Lonchura striata: one gene and its partner. The main gene of each other region encodes a partner of the protein of the gene in region 2 in a complex. Links are inferred from orthologs where the notes say so. Each region holds a gene or a part of one and is shown on either strand. Other genes may lie near its edges.

The links.
Region 1: TTF2 (region 2) and PPP1R8 share a complex: the UniProt entries of both Homo sapiens proteins name them as parts of the spliceosome. The link is inferred for Lonchura striata from reciprocal best matches to the Homo sapiens genes TTF2 and PPP1R8.

Annotation. Positions count from the first base shown.
Region 1 is NC_134628.1:5,420,454-5,428,981, forward strand, and holds the start of PPP1R8 (nuclear inhibitor of protein phosphatase 1), read right to left. Parts: upstream 3,146-8,528; 5' UTR 3,083-3,145; coding exon 3,027-3,082; intron 1-3,026. Other genes in the region: STX12 (syntaxin-12), read right to left, coding at 6,927-7,016, 8,370-8,452. UniProt on the Homo sapiens protein: Inhibitor subunit of the major nuclear protein phosphatase-1 (PP-1). It has RNA-binding activity but does not cleave RNA and may target PP-1 to RNA-associated substrates. May also be involved in pre-mRNA splicing.
Region 2 is NC_134604.1:23,224,158-23,232,436, forward strand, and holds the start of TTF2 (transcription termination factor 2), read right to left. Parts: upstream 3,421-8,279; 5' UTR 3,384-3,420; coding exon 3,163-3,383; intron 2,956-3,162; coding exon 2,869-2,955; intron 1,790-2,868; coding exon 1,723-1,789; intron 1,265-1,722; coding exon 317-1,264; intron 1-316. Other genes in the region: GPR161 (G-protein coupled receptor 161), read right to left, coding at 6,221-6,468, 7,776-7,895. UniProt on the Homo sapiens protein: DsDNA-dependent ATPase which acts as a transcription termination factor by coupling ATP hydrolysis with removal of RNA polymerase II from the DNA template. May contribute to mitotic transcription repression. May also be involved in pre-mRNA splicing.

The DNA of each region.
Region 1 (8,528 bases), on a different chromosome or scaffold from region 2:
TGGAGTACTCAGATACTATGCAAGTTATGGAAGAAGAGGTAAAATGATAGAGGCAAACCTCAAAAGCATGGACAACAAATTAAAGGCCAGGAAAAAGACTACTCTTTTTGATTATGTACATCTAAGATGTATTTCTTATATGATTGGTGTTCACAGGCCCCAGCCAGCTTTCCTTAGAAGCAGGAAAATAAACATTTAGGTAAAGACTGTGATTTTGATTTTGATAGAGGTTGAGGAGATGGAAGATAATTTATTACAGAAGAATCTGCTTCTGACTGTGAAGACTCTGCAATTCCATACTTTTGGTCACCCAAAGCTCTTGGAATGAAGCCCTACAATGCTTCACAGGAGACTTTTTGGTGCTTGTTTAAGACCAGGCTTCCTGCAGGGTGCCTTTATATCCTCCTAAACCAGAGCTTTCAATAAGACCAGTATTGATCCAAACCTGCTCCTGGAACCACCTCCAGCCTGGAGAATCCTACCTGGGAAAGACCCAGACTGATTCCACATCATATCTGTGCTCTTTGGTTGGCTCTGAAAGGAGCAAATACTTAAAAACCATGAGCTGGAAGCTGCAGCTCAGAAATATCAGCAGAAGGCATCCAGAGCTTTAGCATCAAATATACTCTACTTATTTTGCAGAACAGAAAAGTAAACAGAAATAAATAAATCCAGCTGGTAGGAGAGCTCCCCACTTCCACCAAGGGATGAGGCCATGGTTATCACCAGTCTACATCACCTAACACTTCCCATTTTGGGTTCACTGTTCAGAACACAAGCACTGTGACTGGAAGCTCTCCAGACTGGCTTCCTGCTAGCTCACTTTTTTATTTTTCCTCTTATCAAACAGCTTTTGGGCTTCAAAAGCAACATTAAGGAAAAACACAAAGCTTTCAGTGGTGTTAGCTGCCATGTCTGCATGTGCCAACTGGACAAGACCAAATTGTCTCAGGCACTCCTTTACTTCACAGCTACAAACACACAAATTGCCCAGCTGGGTCCCTAAAACCATTACAATGTGTAAGGATACAACAGAGTCCAAGAGAAAATAAAAAGTTTCCTCACAATGTATCAGGAGAGAGTCCAGACAGGAACTTTGCTGTATCCAAAACTATTTTGGAATATTATTGTAAAAGGAGATTCAGGTTGCAGTAAGTGAATTACAAAAAAAATCTTAAAAATGTGAGAACAGAACAGGACCTGGCACCCAAACATGCCCCCCTGACCACTGGGTTTGGATCATCTCCCAGATTCCACCTCATTTCTCATCCAGCAAAACAGACTGTGCTTCAGAACCAAACCAGGGCAGGAAAAAGGGAAACTCTCTCTGTCAGACCCTGCCCTGCTGCAGGTAAGACACAAAACAGATATCTGAAGAGGCCCTCACAATTACAGGTGTTACAGTTCTCTCCTCCAGATGGGATTTCTTTAGGAATTCTTCTACAATAGCATGCAAGACACTGAGACTGAGTATTTTATAAGCTGTGTTCTCTCAGCTCCTCCATCTACAGCTTTCAAAAGTACAAATAATTCAAATTTACATGGAATATAATGTATATTGTGATCACTGTTGTATAAAAACACTAGGAGGAAAAAAAATGGATGATACTTCAAATTTCAAGTTGAATATCCAGAATAATCTTTGACTTTAACTGGTTTATTGTGTCATCATCTTATGGAACACCATCCTGTCTCATATAGATGATCATTATTGTGTATGTTCAGCACAAATAAGACCCTAAAATACATGAGGAATTCTCTTCCATGAGAAGTTTAATGGCTTTACCAGCTAAAGCAGGTATTTAAAAACCTGGTTTAAATGCCAACACACTCATGCACTGAGCACTGTCAGAAAGCACTGAGAGGTGCAACACAGCTGGGTGAGCAGGGCCAGCCTGGGCTCTGCAGGGCCAGGCAGGGCTGGAGCACACAACTCCAGCTCTCAGGTGGGGTGGGATGGGGTGTTTGTGTGATTTAAAATACCACAGCACCCATCCCAGTGCTGTGACACCCATCCCAGTGCCCTGGTACCCATCCCAGTGCTGTGGTACCCATCCCAGTGCTGTGGTACCCATCCCAGTGCTGTGACACCCATCCCAGTGCTGTGGTACCCATCCCAGTGCTGTGACACCCATCCCAGTGCTGTGGTACCCATCCCAGTGCTGTGACACCCATCCCAGTGCCCTGGTACCCATCCCAGTGCTGTGACACCCATCCCAGTGCTGTGACACCCATCCCAGTGCTGTGGTACCCATCCCAGTGCTGTGACACCCATCCCAGTGCCCTGGTACCCATCCCAGTGCCGTGGTACCCATCCCAGTGCTGTGACACCCATCCCAGTGCTGTGACACCCATCCCAGTGCTGTGACACCCATCCCAGTGCTGTGGTACCCATCCCAGTGCTGTGACACCCATCCCAGTGCTGTGACACCCATCCCAGTGCTGTGACACCATCCCAATGCCCCCGTACCCATCCCAAAGCTCCGTTCCCATCCCAATGCCCCCGTACCCATCCCAGTGCCTCCGTTCCCATCCCAGTGCTGCGGCACCCAAAGAAGGCAGGAGAGCCAAGATTTCTTCAGCAATGACCAAAACATAGAACAAACGAACAAGGGCACCCTGATGCCAAGCTCTGCTCTGGCAGGAGCGTGCGGCAGGACGTTTTCAGAGATCCCTTCCAGCGAGGGCTCTCCCACCCCTGACCCAGCCCAAGGCATGGGCGCGATGTCTCCAGCACTCCACTCAGCCCTGACTGCTGAACTCAAGCTAACAAAAACCCCAGCCTACTTCCAAGCTGACAGATGTACCGGACACATCTCCCGAACAGGATATCTAGTTCCTACCACAACACGGATTCTGCCTGAGCTCTGAGGAAAAAACTCGGCACCCCAGGGAGGGCCCGGACCCCCGCGGCGCTGTCGATGGCGGCACCGAGGGCCGCGCCCTGACCCCGCCGGCCCGGCCAGCACTCTGCGGCACCGGGAGCGCAGCCCCGCGCCCCTCCGCCCCTCGGCGCCGCCGCTCACCAGCTCGGGCACTCGAACAGGGACCCGCCGCCCGCCGGGGCCGCGCTCGCCGCCATCTTGGCTCTGCCCCATTCAGCCGGCGCGGGGCACCATGGGAGGCGCGATCGGCGCGCGGCGATCCCGGCGTGCCCCGCGCGGCGCTGGGCGGGGCCTGGCGGGGCCACGCCCCCGAGGGCTGGCCCCGCCCCCGCCCGGCCGGTACCGACCCGGGACAGGGAACAGAGCCGGTACCGACCCGGGACAGAGCCGGTACCGACCCGGGACCGGGGAACAGAGCCGGTACCGACCTGGGACAGAGCCGGTACCGACCCGGGACAGAGCCGGTACCGACCCGGGACAGGGAACAGAGCCGGTACCGACCCGGGACAGAGCCGGTACCGACCCGGGACAGGGAACAGAGCCGGTACCGACCCGGGACAGGGGAACAGAGCCGGTACCGACCCGGGACAGGGAACAGAGCCGGTACCGACCTGGGACAGAGCCGGTACCGACCCGGGACAGGGAACAGAGCCGGTACCGACCCGGGACAGAGCCGGTACCGACCCGGGACAGGGAACAGAGCCGGTACCGACCCGGGACAGAGCCGGTACCGACCCGGGACAGGGAACAGAGCCGGTACCGACCTGGGACAGAGCCGGTACCGACCCGGGACAGAGCCGGTACCGACCTGGGACAGAGCCGGTACCGACCCGGGACCGGGGGACAGAGCCGGTACCGACCCGGGACAGAGCCGGTACCGACCCGGGACCGGGGGACAGAGCCGGTACCGACCCGGGACAGAGCCGGTACCGACCCGGGACAGGGAACAGAGCCGGTACCGACCTGGGACAGGGGGACAGAGCCTGTGCCGACCTGGGACAGAGCCGGTACCGACCCGGGACAGAGCCTGTACCGACCCGGGACAGAGCCGGTACCGACCCGGGACAGGGGGACAGAGCCGGTACCGACCCGGGACAGGGGAACAGAGCCGGTACCGACCCGGGACAGAGCCGGTACCGACCCGGGACAGGGCCGGTACCGACCCGGGACAGAGCCGGTACCGACCCGGGACAGGGGGACAGAGCCGGTACCGACCCGGGACAAGGGAACAGAGCCGGTGCCGACCCGGGACAAGGGAACAGAGCCGGTACCGACCCGGGACAGGGGAACAGAGCCGGTACCGACCCGGGACAGAGCCGGTACCGACCCGGGACAGGGGAACAGAGCCGGTACCGACCCGGGACAGAGCCGGTACCGACCCGGGACAGGGGAACAGAGCCGGTACCGACCCCGGGACAGGGGAACAGAGCCGGTACCGACCCGGGACAGAGCCGGTACCGACCCGGGACAGGGAACAGAGCCGGTACCGACCCGGGACAGAGCCGGTACCGACCCGGGACAGGGAACAGAGCCGGTACCGACCCGGGACAGGGGGACAGAGCCGGTGCCGACCCGGGACAGAGCCGGTACCGACCCGGGACAGAGCCGGTACCGACCCGGGACAGGGGAACAGAGCCAGTACCGACCCGGGACAGGGGAACAGAGCCAGTACCGACCCCGGGACGGGGGGACAGCCCCGGTACCGACGCTGGAACGCGGGGACAGTGCCGGTACCGAGTACCGCGGGGACAGCGCCTCTGTCCGAGCAGAACCCGGGGCACGGCCCGTACGAGCACACCGGCCTTTCTGCCTCTGTCCCGGCCGGCCCCGGCCCGCAGCCGCCCCGGGCGGGCACAGCCGCGCTCGCTGCCCGGCTCTCACGGCCGGCCGGGATCCCCGAACGCCTCGAATGGGGTCGAACGCACATCTGAGAGCCAGACTCTGCAGTAACAAGCACGGGATGTTCCAGTTCTCCAGACGGATTTTCAGGCTCGGGAACGTGAGACGAGAGCGTTAAAATCACCGGTTCTAGCGCCGCGAACCGCTGAGAGGTGCGGCACAGCCGGCTCCCTCCTCTGTGTAGGGGAGAAAGGAGTCAAGCAGCTACAAAAACCCTGAGCTCAGCACCCTGCACCCTCAATTCCAATTTCCAGGGGACTAAAACAGGCTAGGAGAAGGATGGAGCACACAAATAATGCTCCTGTTTAGGTGTGGTGACCTAACAAACAAACTAAAGCTAAGTGCTTTTGTTCTTCTATGGCAGTGTGACACCCAAAGGACTCTGTCTGGCAGCAGGCATGCACAAATCAATAGGTTTCAAATCAATAGCTCCTACCATTTCCAAGGAAAACTTTAAAAAAGGAGCAGAACAACACAAAGGTCACATGCTTTCAAGTCAGATTTTATCATACAGGCTTGCAAATGGCTTCAAGTTCTAGCAAAAGGCAAATAGAGCTGACCCAATGCTGCTCTGAGGTATGAGATTCATTTTTCTGGGATCACCTATTGTACAGGACGCTGCACAGAAGTCTTGTGTATGTCCTTGGAAATTAATTTCATTATTTCAGGGAGTTTCATTCTGAAAAATCAGGGACCACAGAATTAAAGCTGCAGGAAACACTACTGTGCTGATGTAACGTCCTCTACTCTGCAAACACACCTGTGCCAATGTGTAAATTGCAAGAGAAATGAGCTCTGACAGAGGCTTTTAAAAGTGTTTATTGATAATTATTGGATGGAATGACGGCGCAATAGTGCAAACCACTGTGCAATTGGGAGAACACTCTTCCCAGCTTTCATGTTTACTTTATTATAGACGAGACATGGAATAAGGATTAAATACAAAATGGGTCAGTATACTGCATTTACCACCCCCACCGGGTTTTGGACAGATTACTGTTCCCAGTGCATGTCAGTTCAGAGCTACATTGAAGTGGGGAGTGGCTGCTGGTTCTGCCCAACCCTATGAGCTGGAACCAGCAACCCTTTTCATTTGCACACACCTCCCCAGTCTGGAAAACCTAGCACTTCACTCAGCCAGTTTCTGCACTTTCTATTTCATAAAGATTTGAAAATACCAAATGTTCACAAGCCACACATAACATTTACTAGGACACTACAAGTGAACTTCAAGAGCACTTCTTCAGAATCAAGATTTCTGCTAACACTCTTCACTAATGTTGCTAGCTTGTAAACTTAGGTGCCCACTTCCTCATTTTTAAGTGTTTTTTCCCCTGGAAGCTTCTAAAAACAGTTGGGAGTGAGCAGCTAAACTTTTTATATTTAGTGCTTGAGTCAGCATTGGAAGAGATTTATTTGTCCACTAGCAAGCAACCAGCTAGTTTGTCTAAGGAGATTGCACTGTTATTCTAAGTCAAAGAACATTCTGTCCTCAAGTGCATTTTGTGAAATAAAAAACAACCCCAACCACACCCAAAAAATTAAACACAGTTATGAGTCTCAAGGCTAAACTGACCAGCATGTTCAAATCATCATCCACACATACCCTCCTTGCCTCTCAAATCTGTGACAACATCCTTTTCTTCAAGAGAATCTAGAACCACAGCCACTTGGAGACAATAAAACCATGGGGCAGATACTGGAGACTTTAGAAACTGCTGGATTTACATAATGTGACTTGGTGGTGGGCTGTCTTTGAATGGCATTTGCATTCCAGTCCAACAAAGTTACCTACGTGTACAAAATGTTGAAGTTGTGCGACTTGTCAAAAACAAGACCTCTCCAATTATTGATCACATTTCAGCATACAGCTGGGACAGGGAAGAACACATTACAGAAAGCAAAACCACAAGATTTTAGTTACATAAAACAATATAATTTGTATATAAACTGATAAATACTGTCTCCATGGTTTACTAATTCCAAATACTAGTTACCTGCACGTTAGTTGCTAATATCTATTATTAGAAGTAGTTCCAACTTTTGCTCTCTCAGGGTGGTCAATTCAGCTCCAAGACCAGTCAGCCTGTTTGCTCTGACAGAAAAAATCTCAGCTGTGAGACTGGTTTCCATGGGAAGATTTCAGTTCAACTTCCAGATAAGGAGTCCTATGATTATACAGGCCACAGCAAGGCCAAGAATCAGGATACAGATCTTCTTACGGGATTTCTTCTAATAAGAGAAGAAAAAAGAAGCCACTGACACCAGGAACACTTGAGGAAAAAGCAAGGCTACCATTCATGTTACTAACTTGGGTGAACAAGAGCCCTTGGTACCCCCACAGTTAGAGAGAAGTAACCAGTGTAGTCTGAACATTTTTACATGTTCCTTAAACTCCATGATTCTACAGATGAATGTTTTTAATTTTAGGAGTGCAGTGGTCTAAGAGATGCAGTTAAGTCAAAATTTGACAGGTTTTGCTTCTCTTAATGAAAATACAAGCCTCAGAGAAGGCCAAACCTTTCTAGCTATTTACATTTTTTCCTAATCAAACTCCTAAGCAGTTCTCACATACAATCTCCCCTTGGCCACTTGGGCTTGGTGTTGCATTTCTACAATTTAAATTATTTCATGTACAGTTACTGAACTTGGATTTTACAGCTTTGCTCACTTTATTCATCACAGGAAACTACAGGCCTTCCATATACACCAAATATTTTTAACTTGGCATCTAAGGATTTGATATATAACCACTTCTTTCTCCATCCAGGAAAAAACCCCATGCAAAACATATCCAACAGCTCTGAAACTTAGATTTATAAATACCTCAGAACTTTGGCAAGGAAGCCATGGAGAGAGAGACTGCTACTACATGCTGCCAGATGGTAAAAGCAACATTCCCACCCTTGCACTCAACAGCACTGGAGTTTTATTGCCCTCCAGTACCTCCCACTTAACAGCTTGGAAGAGTCCAGTATTTTCTTGTGTAAGTCCCAGCAGTAATGGACTGACTAAAGCAGAACCCTTACCCCTTCACAGAAGCTGGAGCTAGAGGGACAAGGATGGTGACAGGAACCTACAGGAAACACTGGATCCCATACAGCAGTGAGAGCCACTGCAAGAGATTTGATGGAGCACAAACTATGGGATAGAAGCTCAGCAGCTGGATAGGAGTGCTGCAAATCCTGGTCACCAGAGTGACCAGACCTGAGTCTGGGCACAGATTTTTGCATGTCAGTGTCTTGGCTGATATCTTCAAAAGTTGCATATGATATCAGAATTTGTTCTTGTTTCTTCTGCTAACTCCTAACAACAACAAAGACAGGTAAACACTTAGGCTTGCAGAGTGTGAAGGGCCAGACCCTATTTCTACTCTTTTAGTCTAAAGTAGAAGGTGAATTTCAATACCATGTTTTTGACTCAAGTGCTTTATATACTCCTTGCAGGCAATTTTGAATGAATGCCAACTTGCATGAGCTGGTTTTAATAAGCAGTCTGGTGTGCTGCAGTCCTCAGTGTCTTGCTCTGCCTGTTTCATTAGTGCTCAACCATACACTGACAATCAAGCAAGCACACAAAATTTACCTGATAATAGGCAGCTCTCTGTAACTGCTCACTGGCTCTTTCCACATGGACTTCTGCACTTTCCACATTTGCCTCTATGCTATCTATGGAAAGAACAGGAGAACTCATTGCAAAATATTTCAGAGCTTCAGTGTTTAAAAATTATAACTAAAAATATAA
Region 2 (8,279 bases):
TTATAAAGGTAAAACTGGCTGTGCAGTATTCCATTTTATGCAAATTACTTTCCGGGTAAAAGACAAGACACAACCTCAGGTGGGTCAAAACTGAGCATCCCCAAAGGCAGAAGATTGTACTACCTTAGAAGTAATTGGTGTGTAGCTGCTTAATACAACCAGTGTGTACAAAGGCTGAACTCCCTCCCATGCCGCATCTTCCTAAACCCCATTTTGACTTTCTGTTGTAAGGAGACATCACATTCTGTCACGAGTAAGGGAAGTCACCTTGAAAACAGAACAATACACTCCCCAAATAATAGATGCAATAAATGACCTTTTTCTGTTTCAGCTGGACTAGAAGATGGTTATGAAGCACTTTAGGGTCCTGGGGTCCTTCCATGTGATGTGATGCTGCTGCTCCTGGCAAAGGTGTCCCCTGCACACTCTTTCCTGATGGAATCTCAACTGATTTTTCAGGTTTACTTTCACCTGATGAGGAACAAACAAATTGCTCTTCATCACTGTCACTGCCAGAGGTGTCACCAGGAGGCTCTGGCAGCCCTGGCTCAAGTTGTGCCTTGGGCAGCTCTGCCTCTGCCCCTCCCATCAGGGCAGCACACTTGAATGCTGACTGTGCTCCTGCTGAGGAAGGGGCGTCTTCCTTAGACACTGGCATCATGTCATCATTCTTCTGCCCAGTGTAATCTTTCTTTCTTGTTTCTTTATCCCTACAACTTTTTAAGCTTTTTTCTCCAAGCTGCTCCTCTCCTGGAGGCTTGGTACTTGTACTTTGCTTTCCAAGACTTAGTGGGAAGAGTTTTGATCTTGCGCCTGGCTCCTTGTCCACACAATCAGAAAGCTTCTTGGATTCCCTGCCACTGCCACCATATTTCTCTTCCTCTGAAAGTGTATTTTCCCCATTCCCGGTCTCAAAAAGGCAAAGTTTAGATTCAGACACTGTAGTCCCCTGAAGTTCTAGATCACTTCTACTTCCTGTGGATGACTGCCTTTTATTTTTCAGCTCTTCTAGAGATACTGTCTCTGTGAAGGAATCAGAGATTAAATTTTTTTCTTTACATGATACCAGCACACTCTCATTCTCTGCTTTAGCTCCTTTTGCTTTACTTTCCTCTCCATTTACTTGCTTCATTTGTTTCCAGGATGATGGTGCACGATTCTTGTCTAGCACTTTGAATGGGTTTCTCTGTCTTGTGGGGTTGAAGAAAGGTGCTGTTCTGGGCTGGGATTCCAAGGGTTTTGAGACTTTGGTAGCTTTTGGATCCTACAATATGTACATGTCAGTAAATGGCTAGTGTACAAATTATTAAAGCATGTTAATAACACACACAACCTGATCACATCAAGCAAGACTTCATCCTCTACCAAGATCATCTTTCCTATTTTTTTAACAGAACCAGGATAACATTTCATAAGAAATCCAAAACAAAATGGCTGGTTTTCTACTTTCTTTGCCATTCCCACTGTTTTTTGGGATCAAGTCCTGTAGCACAATCTCTAGAAAAGAGGACAGCCAGGAATCAAATCCAAGCTTCTAAGACTGAAGAATAGTGAGTACTTCACACAACTTAGAGACATCTCACCTAGAGGACAGCAGGCCTGACACACTTTTCAAGGTGGAAAACATAAAATCTCCCACTAAGTAGTCTCAGAGGTGATTATGGTATATGGAATGAAAAGTCACACCAGAATAAGGCAATACTATAATACAAACACTCTTACCTGCCATGGGACGCTCCCACACCATTTCTTCCTATTCAACTTACTCTTGAGGCACCGATAAAACAACCTACCAAGGATTAAAACAAGATTTCAATCCCAAGAGCCAGTAAAAAAGCTCTAAGCATTATTTTAAAAGTACTTTGCACCAGAGACCATCACAGCCAAATTCTACTAATCTGCACTTAACATTCAGACCTTTGCATAAAAAAAGGCCATGAACACTGGCAACAGTGCTTTTTACAGGAGTAGTGTTCTCTGAATAAAGATTCCTAGGGTTTGGGTTTTTTTTTTTTTTAATTTTAGCAATAGAAGAGTAACTGCTCAGGCAAAAATACTGTCTATGTTTAGAGCCTTAGATTTCAAGGTGCAAGGAAACAGCTCTTCTTTTACTTACACTGCACAGGCCACCTCATCTTTATAGCAACTTAGGGACAGAAATACTTTGGATGTGATTTCTTTTTTAAACTAACAGCCAACCTGGACTGCTGCAAATACTTTATCAGAACTAATATTGTGGAATCTGACGCTAAGTTTGGATGAATCCAACCACAGAGCCATGTTCAATTCTGTTAAAAACAAACATTATCTGATGACCCAGGTTTATACTATTAGACATAACTGCTAACAAAAGTGGCAAACATTTGGAAACAGGGTAAGTGCAGGCCTGAAGGCTCAATGACTCTTCAGTTTTAGAAGGAAACCAAGTTCTCTCTGGTTCTCTGGCACCATTAGTTTCAATATGTGCAATAAACCCTGTTTTCACTTTGAATGACTTGTAGTTCGACTCTCTCACTCCTTCATAAACTATAAAGACAGCTAAGATGCTCCTGATCCTAAGAAAAACAATCTTTATTTTTAAGAGGCAACAGCCTGCAAAGTAAGCCTTCAAAGACGCCATAAAAATGAGATACTCTAAATAAGAGCCCTCCTTTTCCCACAAAACACAGGTACAGCTTAGGTGGACGTTAAATCCTCACTACAGAAAAACTACTTAAATCACAGGATTCAAGTTTTTCTGACATAAACTTGTAAAAACTATATGATCATTAGTCAGAATCGGTTTGAGAAGATTATTTTAAGCACTGAACATAGGCTTTACCCGTTTGAAGGCAGACATACGCTTTTTAAAAACTTTGAGGAACTTACTGGTATTCATCTCTGTCCGGCTGCTGAACCAGGACTTGTAGCTCCACCACGCACCCCTCATGGATCAAGCAGTGAGAAGCAGGAACCCTGAAAGGAGGAAAGGAGAAGCGGAAGAATACAGACAAGACGAACTGCCCAGGGGACTGCCATCGCAACGCAATCACTTGCGACAAAACAAAGGCTACATAAGAAAACAAGTTTGCGACTGCTGACACAACAGTGAACTTCCCTCAGGACAGCCAAGTGTGCCCCTGTCCCATCGGCCCCCTCCTGCCGCCCCTGCCCTGCACCTACGGCGCTGGGAGGACGAAGCCGCAGGCAGCGGGGCCCTGCGTCCCGCACACGTATAAGCTCTTCCCTTTGTTGGGCCCATCGCGGACGACCGTTTTCAGGAAGCAGAGGGACCCTGAGGAGCGGAGAAGAGCGGAACGGGTCAGGCCGAGCCCCCCAGCACACCACCCCGCACGGGAGCCCGACCGCCCCTCACCGTGCTCGGAGCACAGCACTGCCTCCATGGCCGGGCAGTGCGACCGCACCCGCCCTTTGAACCGGCCAATCCTGCCGGGCCGACGCTACCACCAATCAGCGCGGGGCAGGGGCGGGGCAGCCAATCGCCGCAGCGCTGCGCTCCCCTCGCGCATAGCCCTCGCGCGCCCGGGGGCGGGAACGGGCGGGAGGGGAGATGCGAAGGGGGCGTGGCCTCAGGCCCGCCGCGGTGGCATACTCGGAGCGGAGGGAGCCGTATTCCACCCGGGATACTCCCTGTCCTGGAAACGGCTCCAACTGCCGCGCCGGACAGGCTCATCCTGCCAGCTGGACATACGTTTAAAAGTAAAATACTTCAAGATGAATGTAAGTTGAAATAATGGTACAAACACCACAGACCATCACGAACTGGAAGCAAGTTGGATTTTTTCTTCTGAATTTAAGACGGGAAATAGTTTTACAAAACGTGTGCACTTCTCAATTACTGCTTTTGTTAATGACAACACAAGTGAGAGAACGGCTCTGGTAATAACAATTATGGAAGGGTTATAACGTGTGTACAAAAATAAGAACAACATTTACACTAAATAACAGATTAGTGACATTAACACTGGCAGCCGAATTCAGCTATGGTGTAAACTTGCAACCCCCTTGATCTGCCTGAAGGCTGCATTTGTCTCAGTACCTGTGTGAAAAACGTGCTTTTTTCACGATACTGTGGATTTTGTGCTTCCACGCGTGCCTTGGAATTTCTCCTAAACACAGTGTTTTGGGCCAGCACCTACTCCACAATGCATTCAAACTCGTGTGTGCCTTTCTGATATTCAACCACGGCTCTGCTCAACTTGTTTCAAGCAGGAGTACGGAATAAAAGGGAGCACACAAAATACTTCCAGGCAAGTGTACAGCTTAAGGAGTGTTGAGTACCCGCGACTGTGATTGTAATGTTAACGACAGCAATAATGACCTCGATGCAGGGCGTTTCCGGCAAATCCTGGGATTTTTGTTTTTTTTCCTAATGAGTGCCCACAGGTGCAGTGTCTCTAACACATTAGAAGTAAAAAATGCAGGAGTTAGAACTTCCCTATTATTAATTGATTTATTCCTGCATTATGCTAAGAGCCACCTTTCTGGAGTTTAAGTGTTCTTGCTCTAACAGCCTGTTCTTAAATCAGCAAACCATGTACTGAATTTTAAGCATGCTGTTATATTTTGCACGGGAACACTATGGGATTCAGGCTAGTTCAGAAAGTCAAGTTGCTTTGTCCAGAGATGGACATAAGCTTGTGCTGAAATGCATCTCTGAGTCAGGAACAAAGACAAATAGGATGTCTAAATACAGTACTGGACCGAGGCTCTGCCTCACAACACTTTGCTTCTGTGCTTCTGAATAAGTTGCACAAAGACAAAATTCAATGAGTGCACACCCTGGTTTTTTGCCCAGATGGAAATATCCTGCTCCTGGTTTCCAAACAATCTGCATCAAAACCTCATACAAAGCACTTCTGGGGAAAGGTAGAGGCACAGACGAGCAGACATAGAGTAAACAAATGCAAACCCTTGGTCCTTAACTCCATTTGCTACTGACACCCACCCCCAAGGAATGATCCTGCTCACTTATGTCTCCTCTTTGAAATACATGGTAAGGCAGGGCTTTAGCGCCCCAAAATAAGGAAGGGGGTAGCCCACAAAGGCAGAGAAAGGTTCCTCAAGCTGGATATTCTTGAATGATCCACCTCATCCCTCTTTTCCTTACAAAACTTGCCAGCTTTGGAGTTTGTTTCACTGCCAGCATCTTGGCTGTGCTGAGTTCCCCTTCTTTGGCAAGCAGGGCTGATCAATCAACCCTCTCACAAAGGCCTAACAAGGTAATGTCTGTAGAGTGCTTAAGAACATGCAAAGTGCAATATAAGTGCCAAATGTTCTTATTTTTGAGATTAATGAATTAATACTCCAAGAAATAGAAGCACTGAGGTAACTACAGCTTAAATACTACATTCCCTCATGATTAAAAAAAAAAACAGAACAACAGCTCTCTTCTCTCTAGAAGATGAATCCTGAATATGAAATGATAATATCTTGTTTATATTCTGTCAACTTTAGCACAGCCACAGACTGCCCTTTAAGTAACAGCAAAACATGAGCTGAAATTCTCAGGGAAACTAAGAATTCTGCACTAATGATTTCCTCAAATCCCATCTCTGTGCTGTTCCCAGCACATGTTTACTCCCATTTATCACATCCAGAAGAGCTGATATCCCATGCCACTGAAGCAAAGCACAGTCCAATGTCAGATCTGGCATTCTGTTGGCTGAACAGACAGAAATATCTCCAAGTAAAGGTTAAGTAGGACCATAATCTGCATGAGCTCTCTGAAAAGTTCAAGTTTTGTCCTTAGTGAAGTCCACGTTGCTCAGCTGGGAGTAAGGCTTTATTTCTTATCCAATCCAGAGCTATCAGAGCACTCCAGCTGTCAAGTATCAACTTATTATCCTGGTGGTCAGAAGAGGATGGATGTAACAATGCACATACCTTTTCTGTTTTGTTTCCTGTATCAGCTTTGGCCAATGGGCCCAAGATTCAACTGACTAATGATGTGGTCAATGAAACCAAGCCCTGCATTCCTAAGCACTTTGTGATAATGATGTGGCAGAAGAGTCAGTAGCACCTGTTGCTGTTCGCACCCCAACTAGTAAACAAACACTGCTGTAAAATGCTAATGCAAGTACCAGAACCCAGCTGTTTCCAGGTATTGAAAAAACACTGGAAACATCCCGACAACGTGTCCTGGTTCTGGTGAAACACTACTAGCTGCAGTAGACCCTTCTTAGTGGTTTCATTCTGTTTTCCTACTCCAGTGCTCATATCAAATGTTCCCTTCATCGATGCTCTGCAGCTTCAGTCTTTGGCTGGCATGGGGCCTGACACCACGCCGGGTGTTCCCACTGCTTCCTGCCAGAGTCCACGAGGGGAACAGAGCTCCTGGTAAAGCATCTTCCCCAAACAGGCTGAGTTTCACATCAGCTTCTATAGCTTGGGCCAGACTGGCTGCATAACTGTCCAGAGATTTATGGACTTCAGCTTTTACATGAAGAACAGAATTCTTTGCAGCCTCTGGAAAAAAAAAAAAAAAAAAGGTAACAGTTGGTAAGCAGGGCTGTGCAAATGCTTGAAAACTAATATAGATCCTGCTGGAAAGGCATGATCATGCCCTCTGCAAAGTAACTACACATTTACCAACAATACTCAGGCTCCCTATATCATTCTATGAACACAAAGTTTCAGAGTGACCTGGGATAATGTGTCAGTGCACCTATTTTCGTAGTATCTGTACACCTCTCTACCCACCAACATGTTGAGCAATACAAGAGTTCATCCTAAATGTAACTCTTCAGTAAGGCTGCTGAAATAATCTAAAGCCTCAGGGATGCTGAAAAGCCTGAGATTCATCAGGGAGAATTGCAAAACCTGTGGGGACTTGTGCACTGAGACTTCCCTCTTTCACTCTCACAAGAAATTATATGTCTGCTCCTACATAATCACTCAGAAAGATAGTGGGAAATGTATGCTAATGTGTTTCCACAAGGAAATATTCATCTCATGGTGGGAAAAGGACAAAAGAGAATTCTGCCAAGATGTTTAAAAATTCCATAGAAACAGTTTTCTCATTATATCAGGTTTTATTATTACTTGCTTCTTAAAGGCATTCTGCTCATTTTCATCCTGTCCACAATCATGTATTGTTTAGACAATTCAGTTGTTATTATCAAGTCTTCTATTGAAATTATTGTAACTATCAGCATAAATTAATGTTCTGACATTTTACAGATGATCATAGCAATGTTCTGCTATCCCAGAATCAACAAGCAAGTTGCATGTGATTAATCTGTTTTCACCCATACCTGCTGAGGAACACAAAGTAAAGAAAAGTAGAATTTAAGTTAAAAAGTAAATGAAACAGGATAAAATTATATTCAAGATTATTGAAGTATGTAAATGGAAGAATTTCAAGTCTGTAAGTGACAAACTTGAGAAGAGACAGCAAATGAGAAACACAGGGATGTTTCTCATTTGAATACAACCAAAATATGAGGGCAGGATAATATATTCTCCAAGAAACACAAAACAGACAAAACTTGTTACAGCCACCAAGATGAGTGAAATTGCAGACAGGATACTGCTTTGCAATTTTATATATATGCAGGGAATGCCAGCTTCTAGCTCTTGTCCTTGCCTGATGCTACTTGAGATCTGGAAGAAAGGCCTGATTTTGCTTTCTGTTGTACCTGCATGAATGATCGGGTCTGTCAAGGCACACAGTGGTCAGATACTTTTCAAGACAATTCTCAAGGTCCTGGGAGGCTTCCTGAGCACTCAATATAGTTGACTCTGAGCATTTTCATACTTACCCCTATACTCACCTTTAATTTGTTCCACTTCATCTTCAAATGTCACTGAACTCCTCCTTCGAGGGGGACAGATGCAGTGTGGGGCATGAGGGCCATCTGAGCTATAGTCTTCAAGAAGCATTGTATCTGTTCCTGAAAAGAGCAAGAACCCTCAAGTTAAACAGTAACACTGAGATACGATATGGTGGCAAAACATTTTCAGCCCATTTTCAGCAATTCCTTCAAAAGATGTCTAAACCCAGATTTTTTGAGTAAATTTCAGCTCAAATTAAACACCGCACAGGAAAAGAATGAGGTCAGTTTTCATTGAAAGGATTGGGAAATCTCCTTAGAGACTGGGCATAGCAGGCCCCAGGATCATGTATTACATGCAGCAAGCAACACGTAAGACGGATTAAGGTTTCCTTCTGCTCTGTAGTAACTCACAGTAAAAGCATCCAAAATGAAAGAGTATTTCACAGTGGACAACTGTGTATCCATTCCCAGGCTACAGATTGTGCTCCCTCCTTAAACAAC